2 linked regions of the Drosophila melanogaster genome follow. Changing the gene in region 1 together with any one later gene gives a genetic interaction. Each region holds a gene or a part of one and is shown in the gene's direction. Other genes may lie near its edges. The genes, in order: Fancm and mus312.

Evidence for each region.
Region 2: of Fancm (region 1) and mus312, changing one suppresses a phenotype caused by changing the other (phenotypic suppression), as found in Drosophila melanogaster (one study listed by BioGRID).

The regions. Positions count from the first base shown.
Region 1 is NT_033777.3:21,480,394-21,488,178, forward strand, and holds Fancm (fanconi anemia group M helicase), read left to right. Parts: upstream 1-1,931; 5' UTR 1,932-1,993; coding exon 1,994-2,068; intron 2,069-2,125; coding exon 2,126-2,459; intron 2,460-2,587; coding exon 2,588-3,462; intron 3,463-3,558; coding exon 3,559-6,210; intron 6,211-6,273; coding exon 6,274-6,485; intron 6,486-6,539; coding exon 6,540-6,861; 3' UTR 6,862-7,051; downstream 7,052-7,785. UniProt on the Drosophila melanogaster protein: A ssDNA-dependent ATPase with 3' to 5' helicase activity. Involved in multiple DNA-damage responses, some that require ATPase and helicase activity and some that are independent of these.
Region 2 is NT_037436.4:7,327,167-7,334,280, forward strand, and holds mus312 (mutagen-sensitive 312), read left to right. Parts: upstream 1-1,965; 5' UTR 1,966-2,072; coding exon of another isoform or gene 2,073-2,197; intron 2,198-2,262; coding exon of another isoform or gene 2,263-2,424; coding exon 2,425-2,471; exon of another isoform or gene 2,472-2,522; intron 2,523-2,549; coding exon 2,550-3,073; intron 3,074-3,132; coding exon 3,133-4,065; intron 4,066-4,125; coding exon 4,126-4,170; intron 4,171-4,226; coding exon 4,227-6,127; 3' UTR 6,128-6,305; downstream 6,306-7,114. Other genes in the region: mrva (minerva), read right to left, coding at 1-1,162; CG42307 (uncharacterized protein), read left to right, coding at 2,073-2,197, 2,263-2,425; wrm2 (wurmchen 2), read right to left, coding at 6,929-7,102; wrm1 (wurmchen 1), read right to left, coding at 7,109-7,114. UniProt on the Drosophila melanogaster protein: Regulatory subunit that interacts with and increases the activity of different structure-specific endonucleases.

The DNA.
Region 1 (7,785 bases):
ATCACCCCAACCCCGACTAAAAGCACTTTGCATAAAAGGGTCTGGGCCCTTTCTAGCCTGGTTTCCCGTGGTGGCTGATTCCGCTTGGGCAACTTTGTATGGAGAGTGCTCGTTATGATGTAAACCGCAAATACTCGTAACTTGGCGACTTGGCGTCGTCGGAGATAAGTCGATGAGTCGAGAAGGGTATGGCAACCGCATCGCAACGCAGCACTCGCAGCACAGCGCATAAGTCATGACATTTATGTTGGCCATGTCGGGCAGGGCATCGCAATAACCTGTGACTCATCACATGTGCCCATAGGACACTCGAATCTACGCTCAGATATCTGGTCATTAGGCTCATTAAAGCGGCAGCCAATTAATAAACAAAAATAAATAATTGCACAATTCATTTGGTAATTAGACATGGCTCATAAAGCCGAATTAGGCAAAAGGCGTAGTGCCCATGGCCCACAGATACATACAGATATCCCACAGATAGCACGCACACCGAGATATGTACATTCATATATTCATGTATATTGTCTATATGAGGAGGGAGCCCCGAAGAGAGGGAGAACTTCATGCAAATGAAATGAAATTGACTAGAGAGCCAGCAAATTGAGTGTGTCCCGTGTACCCGTGTGCCCGGGTATTTCTGTCCCAGCTCACGGTGGCTGCCGAATGGGGTGCCCCTCCCCCAGCCCCAGCCCCCCACTACGAGCAAACACACGAACTTACATACATAAGTGAACAATTCATTTGTCACACTAAATTTGTTTCAATTCATTTGCTCGGAATGACAAATAATGCGATATAATTACATTTTGTGAGCGTTCTCCGGTGCCCGTGCTTTTCCGCGGGAGTGGGCCATGACATCCAGCTCTCGGACTCAGATTCCCCCACACACGGTCAATGCTCATTAGGTGAAGATTTTGAAATGAGATTGTGACTATTTACGTATGTTTTTCCGTCAAACTTGGCCAAGTGTATGTATGTGCTTGCTAATTATCATTTTCCCTCATCAGCAGCAGGGGCAAGGATTTGTGGAATAACTTCAGAAATTAAGGTTGAGTTTAGTCAGCATGGGAAGTATATTATTTCAATTATATTATTCGGCTTATACATTAAAAATTAAAAATTCAGTTCCATTCCATTAATTAATCAATTCATTAAAAGGTATTTGTTAAATATCCTAATGCTGCTACCAGTTTAATTGTATCTACCCGTACTGCTTTTCTTTTGATACCAAGCCTTTTCGTTGGGGAAATAAAAGCAAATAAGAACGTTCGTTGGAAGCGCCTAATTTAAGACAATCAGAACATCTACGACAGAAATATCGCGAAAAGTACTCGGGCAATCTGTAAGTACGCAGTGTGTATTCGCCCAATTACGAACTGGCGACATTAAATGGGGCTTGACATTTCCGGGCAGATTGTGGGGTCTGCGTTTTCGTAAGGATTTCGGCATTTTAGCAATACTTTTCACCGATATGATACTGATTAAGGGAAATCATACAAGAGCTCTTTTAATTAATGTAAACTATTGCCATTTGATCACTCATTTATCTTTATTCTCTAAAATCAACTTAGTCACTGTTTAAAATTGGCGCGCTTTTATTTGAATTTAAGTGTTTGGCAAACATATACACAGTGGCGCCATCTGGAGCAGTGCTGCCACTCTCGTATTTGGCACCATTTTAGAGCACTGTTTAATGGCTTAGCAAATCCGCGCTATAAGAAGCCGCTTCAAGCTTGCTTAGACAGTTAACAATTTTTGAGAATTGTATTTATTTTTACTTATTACCCTATATTTAGAGGGTTTTACAGACTAAAATTAGTTTTCATGTCACGATTTGTGTGATCGATATACTCCAACAGCGCCACCTAAAATGATTAGCTCATCCCTAACGGAATGTTATGTTATAAACACAATGTAAAGCAATGTAAACACTTTCAAAACAAAATGTAGATCGTCGTGCAGTAGTTGTTATCAAAAGATTGCTGCTATCATGGATGTGAATTGGATGGACGATGACGAAGACCTAGTGGCGGCCTTGGCTATGCACGAAGAGCAGAAGAGCGAGGTATTTACTTGTATTTACTCCTGCGAGCGCAGAGTCTCTCACAGTTTGGATCCTCAGGATGCCGATGGAACACGTTGGGAACATTGCGACGAAGCCTGCGATGGTTTCGATATGGCCACAGGACACAACTGGATTTATCCAAACAACCTGCCCCTACGATCCTATCAACAAACCATCGTCCAATCGGCGCTGTTCAAAAACACCCTGGTGGTGTTGCCCACGGGATTGGGAAAGACCTTCATTGCGGCGGTGGTTATGTACAACTTTTACAGGTGGTATCCAAAGGGAAAGATTGTGTTCATGGCACCCACAAGGCCCCTGGTCTCGCAGCAGATCCACGCATCCCAGAAGATCATGCCCTTTCCATCTGAAGACACGGTGCAGCTAACAGGTGAGTTCAAATGTGAAGACTTATTTACAAATGCTTACCGGGTTATATGACTAAAAGAACCTGGATGTGCCGACTGCCTTACAAGTCCTGAATCCAAAAAATAAGCTCCAGTCCCATTTTTATTCCAGGCCAACTTCCTCGACCCAAACGAGCTGAGCTGTGGGCCTCCAAGCGGGTCTTCTTCGCTACGCCGCAGGTGGTGCACTCAGACATGCTGGAAGCTGATGGCGAATGCAGCTTTCCCTTTGGGTCCATCAAGTTGATAGTGGTGGATGAGGCGCACCGGGCCAAAGGTCGCTATGCCTACACCCAAGTGGCCGACTGTCTGATGGCACGTAACAGGTATTTCCGGATGCTTGCCCTGTCCGCTACACCAGGAAGAACCATGGAGGATGTGGCAGCTGTGTGCCGAAACCTATACATTTCCAATCTGCAAGTGCGCTGGGACACCTCGATCGACGTGCAGCCCTACATACACAGGCGGACGATTCGAACCATAGTGGTCTCCCTGAAGGAGAGAATCAAGGAGCCGAGAGAACGATTGCTGCAGATCATCGAACCATACCTACGCCAGCTTATGGAAGCTGAGATTTTTAAAGGCAACAAGGGAACCGTGAGCAGAAATAGTTTGCTCTTTGAGCAGAAAAGCTTCGTCGAACGATCGGCGCAAGGCCAGCGGCATCCGGATCACAACATAATAATGGGCAACTTCGCCATGTGCATCAGCATGTACCACTCGCTGGACCTAATGGAGCGTCACGGTCTTCGCGTCTTCGTGAACAATTTCGATGCAGACGACGACGGGCGAGAGAAATTTGTACTGGCCAGAGATGGTAATCTAAGGAATTTGGTGGAGCAGGTCCGCCAAGAACTCGGTGCCAATCCCCTAGATTACACCACGCATGCCATGACGAATGGAGAAGTGCCGCCTTTGCCATCTGATCTAGACTTTGGACATGCCAAATATGAGAAGTTGCGACAGGTGTTGGTGCAACACTTTCAGGTAGGGGCAAAAAATCAAAAAAAAAGAAGTTTTCATATAATTTTCATGAAACCGATAAACATATTCCCTTGTTAATATAAATGTTTTCTTTAATAGGCAAACCCCGATTCCCGCGCCATTGTTTTCTGCGAGTACCGTGAATCCGTAATGCTGATTCACCGGCTACTCCTTCAACACAGACCGGTGCTCCGTCCGCGCTGTTTTGTTGGCCAGGGCAGCACAGTTGGAGCAAGCTATGCTCTCACCCAGAAACAGCAGCTGCAGATAATGACCGACTTTCGATCCGGCACTAGCAACGTTCTGGTGGCCACGTCGATCGGAGAGGAGGGCTTAGACGTCGGCGAGGTGGAGATGATTGTGTGCTTCGACATTTGCAGCACTAATCCCACTAGATTTATTCAGCGGATTGGGCGCACTGGAAGGAAGAAGAATGGAGAGGTGGTTATGCTAGTGACCGAAGGACGAGAACAGCAGGTGCTTAAGGATGTTCTGGCCAACAAGGATCAAATCAACAAGAAGCTATTGAATTCGTCCGTTGTTAAATTGTCGCTTTATGAGCAAAATCCTCGAATGGTGCCATCAAAATTTCAACCAAAATGCGAGGAGAAACACATGGAGCCAGTTGCTGAGGAGAAACCCAAGCCGAAGTCGGCAGCCAAGACGAAAGAATCCAGGAAGCGGAAGCAACCAGTTGCACAGACTGGTAGCCTAAGGAAATACTTCAAAGAAAGTCCTCCAACGGAGAGTCAGCAAGGAATATTGCAGGGAATAAAACCCTACCAAATGAGCGAAGCTTCACAGCAATTGGTTAAGCAGCAAGTTCTACGGCGCAGCGTAACTCTGAAGAACTTCTTTGGGGAATCTCAGGCCAGCTCAACGTTAACCAGCAGTCAGGAAGATGTGCAACGCCTCCGAAAACTTACTCGCCTTCTGCAGTCAAGCAAGCCATTTGTTTCGGACTCCAAGGATCTTATGAGCCATCTGCAGGACGATCACTTACCCAGGCAAATAAAGCTCTACTTACTCAAAAGTAATCCCGAATTTCTGAGGGAAACCCATTTGAAGATGCAAGTCCAGAGCGAGTTGAATATAGCTGATGATCGCTTAAATAGTCGGCAGCGACGCACTAAAAATAATTATCAACTGCTTCTGGACATTTGCGACGGAATGGACCAGATGAATGAGCTTCTTCAAGGGGATAATAGTGGAGCAGAGATTAGCTTCAGGGATGAACTAAATCCTATTTATAATCAAAGTCCCAAAAAGTTCGATACCATTTGTGAACAGATTTTCGATGGTCTGAATGAGCATGGCCTAAACTCGAACAATTTTGAACTGAAGCAAGATCTTTTAGAGAAACTTGAGCTTCGCAATCTGGAAACCACAGTAAACGAGCAACTGGGTGGCATTGAAGCTTCCTGGTCAGAAGAGGAGTGGGACCAACAGGAGGAAGACGTGAAATTTGAGTCTATGTACCTAAGCCAGCAATTGAACTTACCAGACGCGAATGTTGTCCCCCATAGCTCAACGCCGCTCAGGGTCAAACCCTTGAGCAAATTAATGTTTAAAACCCTGCAGGGCGATATTGAAGAGGAGTATCATTCCGGGATGGAAGCTAGTGAATTGGGGGACAACTTAGGTCGCCTAAATTCACTGATGAACGCAAGTGAATCGAAGATTAAAGCGACTGAAAGAATTGCACCTATTCCTGTAGTAGACTCTACAATTGAGACAAATCACTTTCCAGCCGTGGAAGAAAGTCAAAGATCAACTCCTATTTCCATTGCAGATTCTTCAGGTGAATCAAATCACTGTGCTGTTAATAAAAATAGTGAGATATATCCAATGAGCATAGATGAGACGAAAGTAGAAGTTAAGTCCTCTTTAAATCTGAAAATGCACGCAGAATCCATTGTAGAAGATTTGGATATCGACTTGGATGATTTTCTAGAGCCAATGGACAAGGAACTGGAATTAGCCTCCCAGACAAAAGGGAAGTCGCAAGAGAACATCGTAGATCACCAGATGGAAAAATTGGAGAAAAACTGCGAGCAGAAAGAAACAGCACACAACAATGACCTTGATCTAACGGACGAGGACTTGAAAGAATTTCTAGAGCCGATGGTGGAGGAAGTGGAGTTGATGAGCCAAAAAAAGGCGAATGACTTCAAGGATTTTCTCGAGCCAATGCCAGAGGAGTTAGAGCTAATGAGCCAGCAGAAGAAAAACATACTGCTTCCAAGTACAGAAACAATTAAAAACTCAGAAAATAAAAACTCACATGAGGATGGCTCAAGAACCGTTTCGCCAGATATCTTTGGATCTGACTCCATGTCACCTTTGAAGCCCCAAGGAAAAAGTCTGGCCGCAAAATTGGCAGCCAAGGCAGCAGCAAAGGTTTTGCCTTGCCCACCGCCGAATTCAGTAGGTCTTAATTCGCCGGAGAACCGGAAACGTACCAATCCTTCTATCCAGGAAAAGTCTCCAAGTATCTTTGATCTATATTTAAATCGAATGCGGGGTCGTGGTCGTCTTGCTAAAGCTGCGGAGAATCTTCACCGTATAACTTCAACGAATCCTACAATCTCAGTACCTAAAGACGAAGAGGATTCTCCTATTGCGCGGCGTCCATCCAAACGAAAGATTGTTATAAGTTCCGATGAGGAAGAGGAGCAGAAGCCACAGATTGCGGAAACCCAAGTGGATTGCGAGTCCGATGATTACGAGAGAATTCTTGACACGCAAATGGTATATATCCCTAAGTTTAGAATTTGATCAATACATCTAATATATGACATATATAACTTTCAGCCTGATCCTCGTAAGACTCCAACGAGACCTCGACACAAACGCAGTAAATTCAATTCCTTTATTTTGGATGAGGCTGAAAAAAGCGGATCGGACCATGAGGAGGAAGGGGAGACTACCATAGGCACATATCTGAAGGACTCCATGATCGTTTCAAGCGATGATGAGGACCATAACGACACAAACACTCATGCTATTTACCTTCGTGCACTCAAGTAAGTCGAGGGTGAATTATAAATGCGTCTAACTAAACAATATCTCGTTGCTAGGAGCCCCATTCAAAGGCCAGGTGCCTTCAAGATGCCCCCTCCACGAGTTTTTCGCGACGAATCGCACATATTTTCTCAGCCAGTGGAAGACGATTCCTCGCAGTACATGCAATGCTCATTTATCGTTGATGACGAAAGCTCCACGATTGAAAGAGGGCATGATGTCTCCGAATGTCCTCTTGAGAAAGCGGAACGTATTCTAAAGGAGCGAAGAAAGCAACGTCGACTAGGTAAGGTGCCTTCCGCTCCGGTTAATAAACGACGCCGATTACAAACCATAAGCACCTCTAGCGATGAAGATGATGTTGTTTTAATTGATTAAACGCTACGTCACTTCCCAGTGCCATTGCATTAAATAGTTTGTGATTTGTTAAAATGTTTCCGATTTTATTTCGTTTAATAATCTTGTAGATTTATGTGAATACGTGATACAGATCTTTATAAGTCCAATTGATTGTTAATATTTTTAACTCAAGCGAATACAATAATTTAACTAGGTTACATTGTTTTAGATACAAATAATAAAATTAACGAAATATCTAAAATTTTATATGTTGCGTTTCTCTATTTGTTATCCTTCCTAACGCATTTATACATTCAATCATGGAGTAATTATGGAGCTCCCAAGTTCTTGCGAGTATCGGTCTTCTATAGTGAACCTGCTTAAATAAATACTGGTAACTATTAGCTGCATGAATCAAGAATCTATTTAAATCTCCTGTTCAATAACTTAAATTCTCGGTGGTTTTTAAGATGCGTACCCAATGTTAATGACCAATGTCAATCGATTTTTCTGCACGAGTTTTGCATATTGAGGTATATCCAAAAAAAATTTTCCAAAACACTTTTTAGAACATAAAATTCTGGTATCGCTGATTTCGTACAGTTTTATCTGGCAGCCCTATAAATTACTCGTTGTCTGGTGCTGCCAGACTATGAATATATTACAATACGAATGGCTCCCTAGATGGTGTTATACATACTTGGGTCTTTTGTCATGAAAAATACATCACCACCTTACGGGTAAAGTGGGAACGCACAGGCCGCCAGATGGCGCGCATATGAGATTGCTGTTTGAACTTATTGAAGTTATAAGATACATTGAAGTTATAAGTTATATTGTATAAGTTATAAGTTAAAGTAGTAGACCCACATTGGTAATTCGTGTAAAACAGTTAAGACCTGTAAACTTGTTTATTACTAAAAAAAAATATGAAAAGAAAAGAATAATATCCTGAATTTGGTT
Region 2 (7,114 bases), on another chromosome or scaffold:
TGATGAGAGCCACCAGAGGCCACAGGCTTGCGGCCAGCATGGAATACGACAGTCCCATGATGATCATGCCCACATAGGGTGTCAGCTGGGTGAACGTAAGCAGGGCATGGGCTCCAATGGTGGTCAGTGTCGCTGTGAACACCCAGGTCACATTCCTACCCAGTTTGTCGATGATGAAACCAAAGACCGGAGACGATACGGCTGCAATTAGATACACCAGCGAGTCCACGGTGTTGGCCTCAGCAGGCGAAAGCCCGAAGCGATCAACAAAGAAATTCTGTCCGAGGGCAATGAATGGGAAGATGGCCACATAGTAGGCGACGCAAATGATGGATACCATCCAAAAGGGTGGTTTGAACGAAAAGACATCGGTGAGTTTCGGTATCTGTCCAGCCGGGTTGTTGTTACGCTGCAAAATCCGCTCGGCCCTCTTGTCCATCCAGCCGAGGATGAGGGCACAGGTCATCGACATCACACAGGTGAGGGTAGCCAGCAATAAGACGACGCCTAGAGCGGTATGTCCCTTGTAAAAATTGCTCACATACTCATAGATGGGCTGCATCACCCAGAAGTTGACGGTGCTGCCGAATCGGGCAACCGACAGCTGCAGGCCGAATACCATGTTCAGTTCCTTGCCCTTAAACCAGAGCACCGCATAGCTGTTCTGGGCCACCGCCAGTGATTCGGCGCCAATGCCGAAGATAAACCGTCCCAGGATCATCATCCAGAAGGCGTCCAGAATGCCGCCGCAGGCAAAGATCAACTGACCCACCAGCAGGATCATCATGTAGATAATCGTGCCCAGTCGAATGCCAAACAGTCGATCGATCAGGAAACCTCCCACGAAGCACAGGACGACATTGGGCCACGAGTAAATCGAGTAGATGAGTGTGAACTGGGCGGAGGTCAGATTAAGATCTTTCTTGAAATAGTTCTGCAGGGCGCCGGGTGCATCGTAACAGAAATAGGAGCCGAATCCCAGCAGGCACATGAACACCAGAGCCATGAACCGGTGGCTCGTGCTCGAGGGCATGCAGCAGCCGCCGGACGGAAGGCTCAGTTCATTGTCACGCCGACCGGCCCGACTGACCACTTGGTCCTCCTCCGTCGGTCGCGACACCTCCTCATTGTCCACGATGCGTTCCTCGTCCTCGCGCGCCATCTCCACTCACCGCTGGCACAATCCGCACTGACCAGTTGGATGTGGAGCCGAATCCCGCAGAATGGGCGTATGCAAAACTATGTGATATGATTAATCGGCTTTCTGATTTCCTGCCGCAGTTGTTTTTTCTTTTGCTTTCGTTTTTCTCTTTTCGTATTTGCCGTTTCTGCAAAATATTTGTATCAATTTCTGCGAACGAGTGAGCGAGTTGAACTCTTCTGCTTTGTCTTGGCTTATCTCGCTGCTTTTGTTTTTGTTTACTGTACTAGTACCCTTTGTCTAACAACTATTGTTGTTGTTGGCTGTGTGGGCTAGTTAGTTGTCTCTGGGTTCACTGGTTATCAGCAGTTTTTCCACTCCACTTGCAGCTGAAGTTCGCAGTGCGGTGTTGGGCAACAAATGTTCGGTGACGTGTGCAACCGCACTTTATTGCTGATCGAATAAAACTAAATTCTTTCCTCTGCCTAATTAACGTTAATTACGCATATACAATGGCGGGGCTGCCAACTCGCTGTAGAGCAGGGTTGTCGACGCAGCTACAGGTGCATTCGAACAGCTGGCAGGCGATAACGATCACAAATATGAACGGTATTCCTGTTTTGCTCTCCATTATAATCGAAAGTTTACTCTAATTGAAATGCAAATTTTAGTAAGCCATGATTATTTATATAATAGAATTATATAAATAAAAATAAAAACGCTTGATTATATTAATAAAACAAGATAATCATTAATTGAGAAACTATTTAAGTACAAGAGCTCAACGACGCAGAAATCTCTTGCATCTTGTTTTGATTTAATTTAGTATAGCCTGACAACCCTAATCCAGCAACGCCGAGTTGAAGCATGTTTTCATACTTTTTACCGGGTAAAATGTATTTAATTATATAATTCAGCGGCCCTTGCAGCAATGGATCCCATCGACACCACCAAGCGAAAGCCCAGACGCACCTACGGCACGCCATCCTACACGTATCGCAATCGATTTGCCTATGCCCTCTTGGCCGCCGGAACTGTGCTCTTCGGCATTTGGAGGTGAGCAGATCTTCGAACTTAACGTATAAATGTGGTTTTAATGCTTGCCACCGCCTCGTTTTCAGCCTGACTCCCATCCAGCGCATTGCCAACGAGAAGCTGTCCCAGGCGGTGGCCCAAACCGAACAGGAGCGCGATAGGAAAGGACTCTTTGAGTTCGGCGCACCAAGGACTTCGCAGTTCATCAGGGACGCCATCAAGGAGAGCGAGGAGCAGAGGAACAAATAATGGATCGCAAGACGCGGCGAGCCAACTTCAAAAACCTGCAGCCTCGGTAATTTTAATTGAAATAAAGGCCAATAAAATGAATGTCATTATCTAACCGAACACTTTGTTTTCCTTTCATCCGAAGTTTGACGCGAAGCACCAAAGCAGCCGCAGATACATTATCGTTATCCAACTTCTTTGCCACACCCGAAAATGCTGAAGAAGTTCCGTCATGTCTCGCCGACATTCCTGTTCAGCCCGATCCTCCTGCGCCAAAAATCAAACCAATACGCACCAGCAATGTGTTCGAAAAACCTGGGCCCAAGCCCAAAAAGGCACCCAAGCTCAAGGCCAGCACTGTGTCAACGTCGAGTGGGGCGCGTCGTGGACGCGGAAAGAGCAAACAACAGCCCAGTATCAGCAACTTTCTACGCAACGAGCAGATCTTCGCGGAGGTTACCGCCCAGCATTGCATGGCGGACAACTTTAGTGCGGATGACATTGAAATGGCGCTGGCGCTGTCCAAATCGGAGAGTGAGAAGCATGGACGCCTTCGTCTGCATGACGATGACGATGCGGTGGTTGACCTACTGGATGATGAAGAGAAGTCCACTGAGAGAATACGTCATAAACTGCAGAAGTATGGCTTCCGCACAGCCGCCAAGGAAGGTAAGTCATCTTATAAAGTGTAAACGGTAAGATTGGACTTACGTTTTATCCCCATTTAGATTATAAATCTCTGGCGGTCCTGCCCGTGGTGGCCAGCAAAGGAGGTAGACGTGGCAAGTGGGCCAATAGGTTTACTTCCCTAACTTTAAGAAATCCGGATGTGCAACAGAAGAAGCTCGAGGAGAAAGTGTCTGCATTGCTTGGCCAAGAAATGCGCGGCAAGGAGCCCAACGGGGAAGACTGTTGTCTGACACCATACACTGTGATCACCGCAGCATTGAAGGAACTCAGAGCTGAGGGTGAATCTCGCATCCTTCGGGAACCAAGCGAAGGGCCCATAGATGACCTAGAATCATACTACGTAACCGACTTGTTTGAAGTTAGTCGCACGCCGGCACACCATCTTTTGAAGAATTGGGCAGCGATACAGGGAAGGGATTTTTCGCCAGAGCGTGAGACCCAAAAATGCCGCCAATTAAGGCAACAACATGAGCTTGTCTACGCTGAGTTGGAAAGGTACTACGGTGATCCACAGAAGTTAGAAGAGGAGGTGATGCAGGAACTGGATGAATTGGAAAAACTGGTGGCAGATAACATGATCGAAGATGATTCTGTAGTGATAAATATTGTGGAGGCAGAATCATCGTCGACTGGTAGCAGTCCATCAAAGGAGCCGCCGGATAAGCGTCCAAAAATGACAATGGAAGATAAGGAAAACCTGCAGCCAACAACATCAAAAGCCAGCTTGACTGTTCCCGCCCAGTCAACCCGCTGCACCTCGCCGGATCTCTTTGCGGACTCCGAAGATGAGCCGGATATAGTAACGACTGCTATATCCAATGAACCCGAAGACGTTAGGAATCTTTCAATGAAAGTTTACAAGAATGTCAGCATTAGCGAACGATCATCTTCGGTCGCTGAAATAGAAATTGTGTCCAGCAATGATGAACCTTCTCAGATAACCACGTATGAAGTGTTTTCCAGCGACGAAGGTGAGAATCTCCATTCATATAGACAGCACACCCCTTAAGAGTATTTCAATTTGCTTTCAGTAAAGACTGTTTCCAACGCTACGCAGGAGAAGATTTCTTTTGATGGTGAGTAAACACAGAAAAGTTCGATACCAAAATCTCATTCATATTTTAATTTCCAGACAAACCCATAGATGACTTTATAGACCTAACACAAGAGTTCGATATGGTAGAATTTAATGAATCAAAGCCTAGAACCCCAAACTTAATTGCATCATCGGAAACAGATTCCAATGTAGACAACCTAAATGGTGATACAATTCTAGATTTTAGTTCCCAGGAGGTAAGTTGTCCCATCTCCAAGGAATTGTACGCAAAGTATGCCAAGGTGGAAACATTCCCTGTGTGGAATGCAGCAGCAGAAGAGGAGGATAAAATTGAGTTTTCCTTAAGCATGGAAAGAGATTTGAAGAGTTCCGAGCAATCGTCGCATCAGCTCGGCATATTAACCACTCCAAATGACACCGAACACAGTTCAAGCTTCAGTGAATTGAATTTCTCGAGGAACTCGCTTCGGAGGAGCGTTAGTCTATCAACGGATCTCAGTTTCAAAAGTCCGCTTAACTGGAAAATGAACTCATCAGCCGAGAAGAGGGTCTCGCCGGCTGCTTCTCCTTACAAACAGTCGGATGCTAGTGTGGACTTAACCCAGAACAGCGATGACGAAAACGACGCAATTCTGCTCTCCGACGAGGAAATCAATTACTCCATTTGGAAGGGCAATAAGACCGTAAAAGATTTGGATATCGGGGACGATAGCTCAGACAGTTGCTTTGCATCTCCGGTGACGAAAAAGCGAGCTATCCCACAGTTCCAAACTGAGGAGGATCTGGATGCCTTCTTGATGGACTTTTCCACGGATGGCAATGGATCGCAAGGTTCACATTCTCCCAACAAGAGTGCTCTTAGCAAGGAGCGTGCTGAATTCGGAATACTGGATGCTGCTCCGTCTCAACCCTTCAGTCTATCTGAACTTCAGAGTCACGCCGACAAAGAGAAGTCATCGGATAACGAAATCAACTGGGCAGAAGCTTCATTTTTGGATGCACCAGCAAAGCCATTGTCACGCAGGAGCAGCCACAAATTTAATGAGCTCTTGGCGAAAATAAGCAAACCAGCGCATAACTCTGGCGACGACTTTGACGAATTCGATCAGATGGTTTTCCAAAGCACCAAGGAAGCCGCCTCCAGTGCTGGCGAAACAAGTGACATGCCTCAGGGATTGGACCTTTTGTTGAAGGGAGAGATAAAAACGACAGCGATCCCGGAGACAAGAGCTCCAGGCAACCAAACTCCGATTGAACCGCAGCAAGTAGATGTTGACGGCAATGTCTACTCCGTGCGTGTTTGTCACACACCTAAGCCAGATTTCGCCACCCTCCCGGAATCGGAGATCCTCCAGCAGCTCTACAAGTACGGCATAAAGCCACTAAAACGCAAACAGGCAGTGAAAATGCTCGAATTCATCTACAATCAAACGCATCCCATAATGAAGACAGCTGCTGTTCAGGATTTACCAGCCAGATCTGAGCCAATTGTGCGTTCCAAGTCAACTCCTGTGATTATGGAGAGACCACATTCGCAAGTAGCAAAGTCAACCTCTAAAACATTGAAGGCAATTGGGACAAAAAAGGATTTAACATTTAACGATGCCACGGGCGAGGAATTGCTGCGCTTTTCCCAATCCCTTGCCCCGAGTCTTTGCGATGACTTCGAGACCTTTGTCATGCAAACGAACGTTACCAAGAAGACACCACAGCCGCTGGTGCCACTGCACATCGCCTGGCACAATCTCATCTGCGCCAATCCCCAACTGCACGAAAGTGTACTCACGTACGAACCCATTGATTTGCAGGCAGTTTACTTGCACCTGAAGCACATGGGGCATCGATACGATCCAAAGGACCTGAAGACCTTCTTCGACCGGCGTTGCATTATCTTTCGCTATGAACTGGGTGCTCCCGGCAAGCAAGCAGAGCGTCATGTGCGAAGGCACACAAAAAAGCCTTCTAAAAGGAAGTAGATTCTACAAGTTATGGAATTTCATTGTACTTATACCTAACTTTGAATGCATTGAATTATTTTCTAGTATTTACCTTATATTGTATTATTGAATAAGATATTGTTACTTGGTATTTTGCGATCTAAATTTATTGTATGTAAAATTGATAAAACTCAAATACATTCAACACTTTTGTTTGAAGCATTGTTAACCATTCCTATTTGCCATTTCAAGCTACCCACTAGCATCTACGATTAAAAAACACAATATTATTTTGGGGGCCGTAGATTTATTTGATGCAACTTCAAAATACAATATTACAAAACTAATGGACGAATACAAATGTATAGAGTTTGTAGTAGATACAAGACACTGATATTTTCATACGAGTAGAATATTGGACAACATTAAATGCAGCATCTGTAGACAGACTACCCTAAATGGGTATTAAATGTAAAAATACAATTCGATCTTACGGCGCTAGAAAAGACACTTGGACGGTATAAATTTCTTACGAGTCTCTACGTGAAAGGCACATTGTCAGATTGCGATTAATGGAATGGAATCGGCTCGAACAAAACTGGTTGCTAATGAAACTATTTGTACTGCATGCAAAACTGATATGGTTGGTGGGTGCAGACGGGTTAGTGGGCTCTTACAGTAGCTAGGATTAGTTTTGGGGGGAGAGAGATATATAAGAAGCAATTCGTAGCATTGCCGGCATGTATAAGTATGTAAATTAAAGGCAGGGCTGTCCAAGAAATCACCAACAATACCCATTGGTTGAATGGGATTAATGGGACACCCCTGAACACCCCAATATTAGGCATAGCTAATCTCATGCTCATACGTCTTTCCCCGCAGATCCTCGTCATCGGGAAGCGCATGGTGGCGCAAACCGCACAAACGCGGTCCGTAGCGCAGCATGACAATGATAACGCCCACGATGAACAGGGCGACGGCGGCCACGGCGGGATAAAGGAAGTAAAGAGCCATTGCTACTTAGAT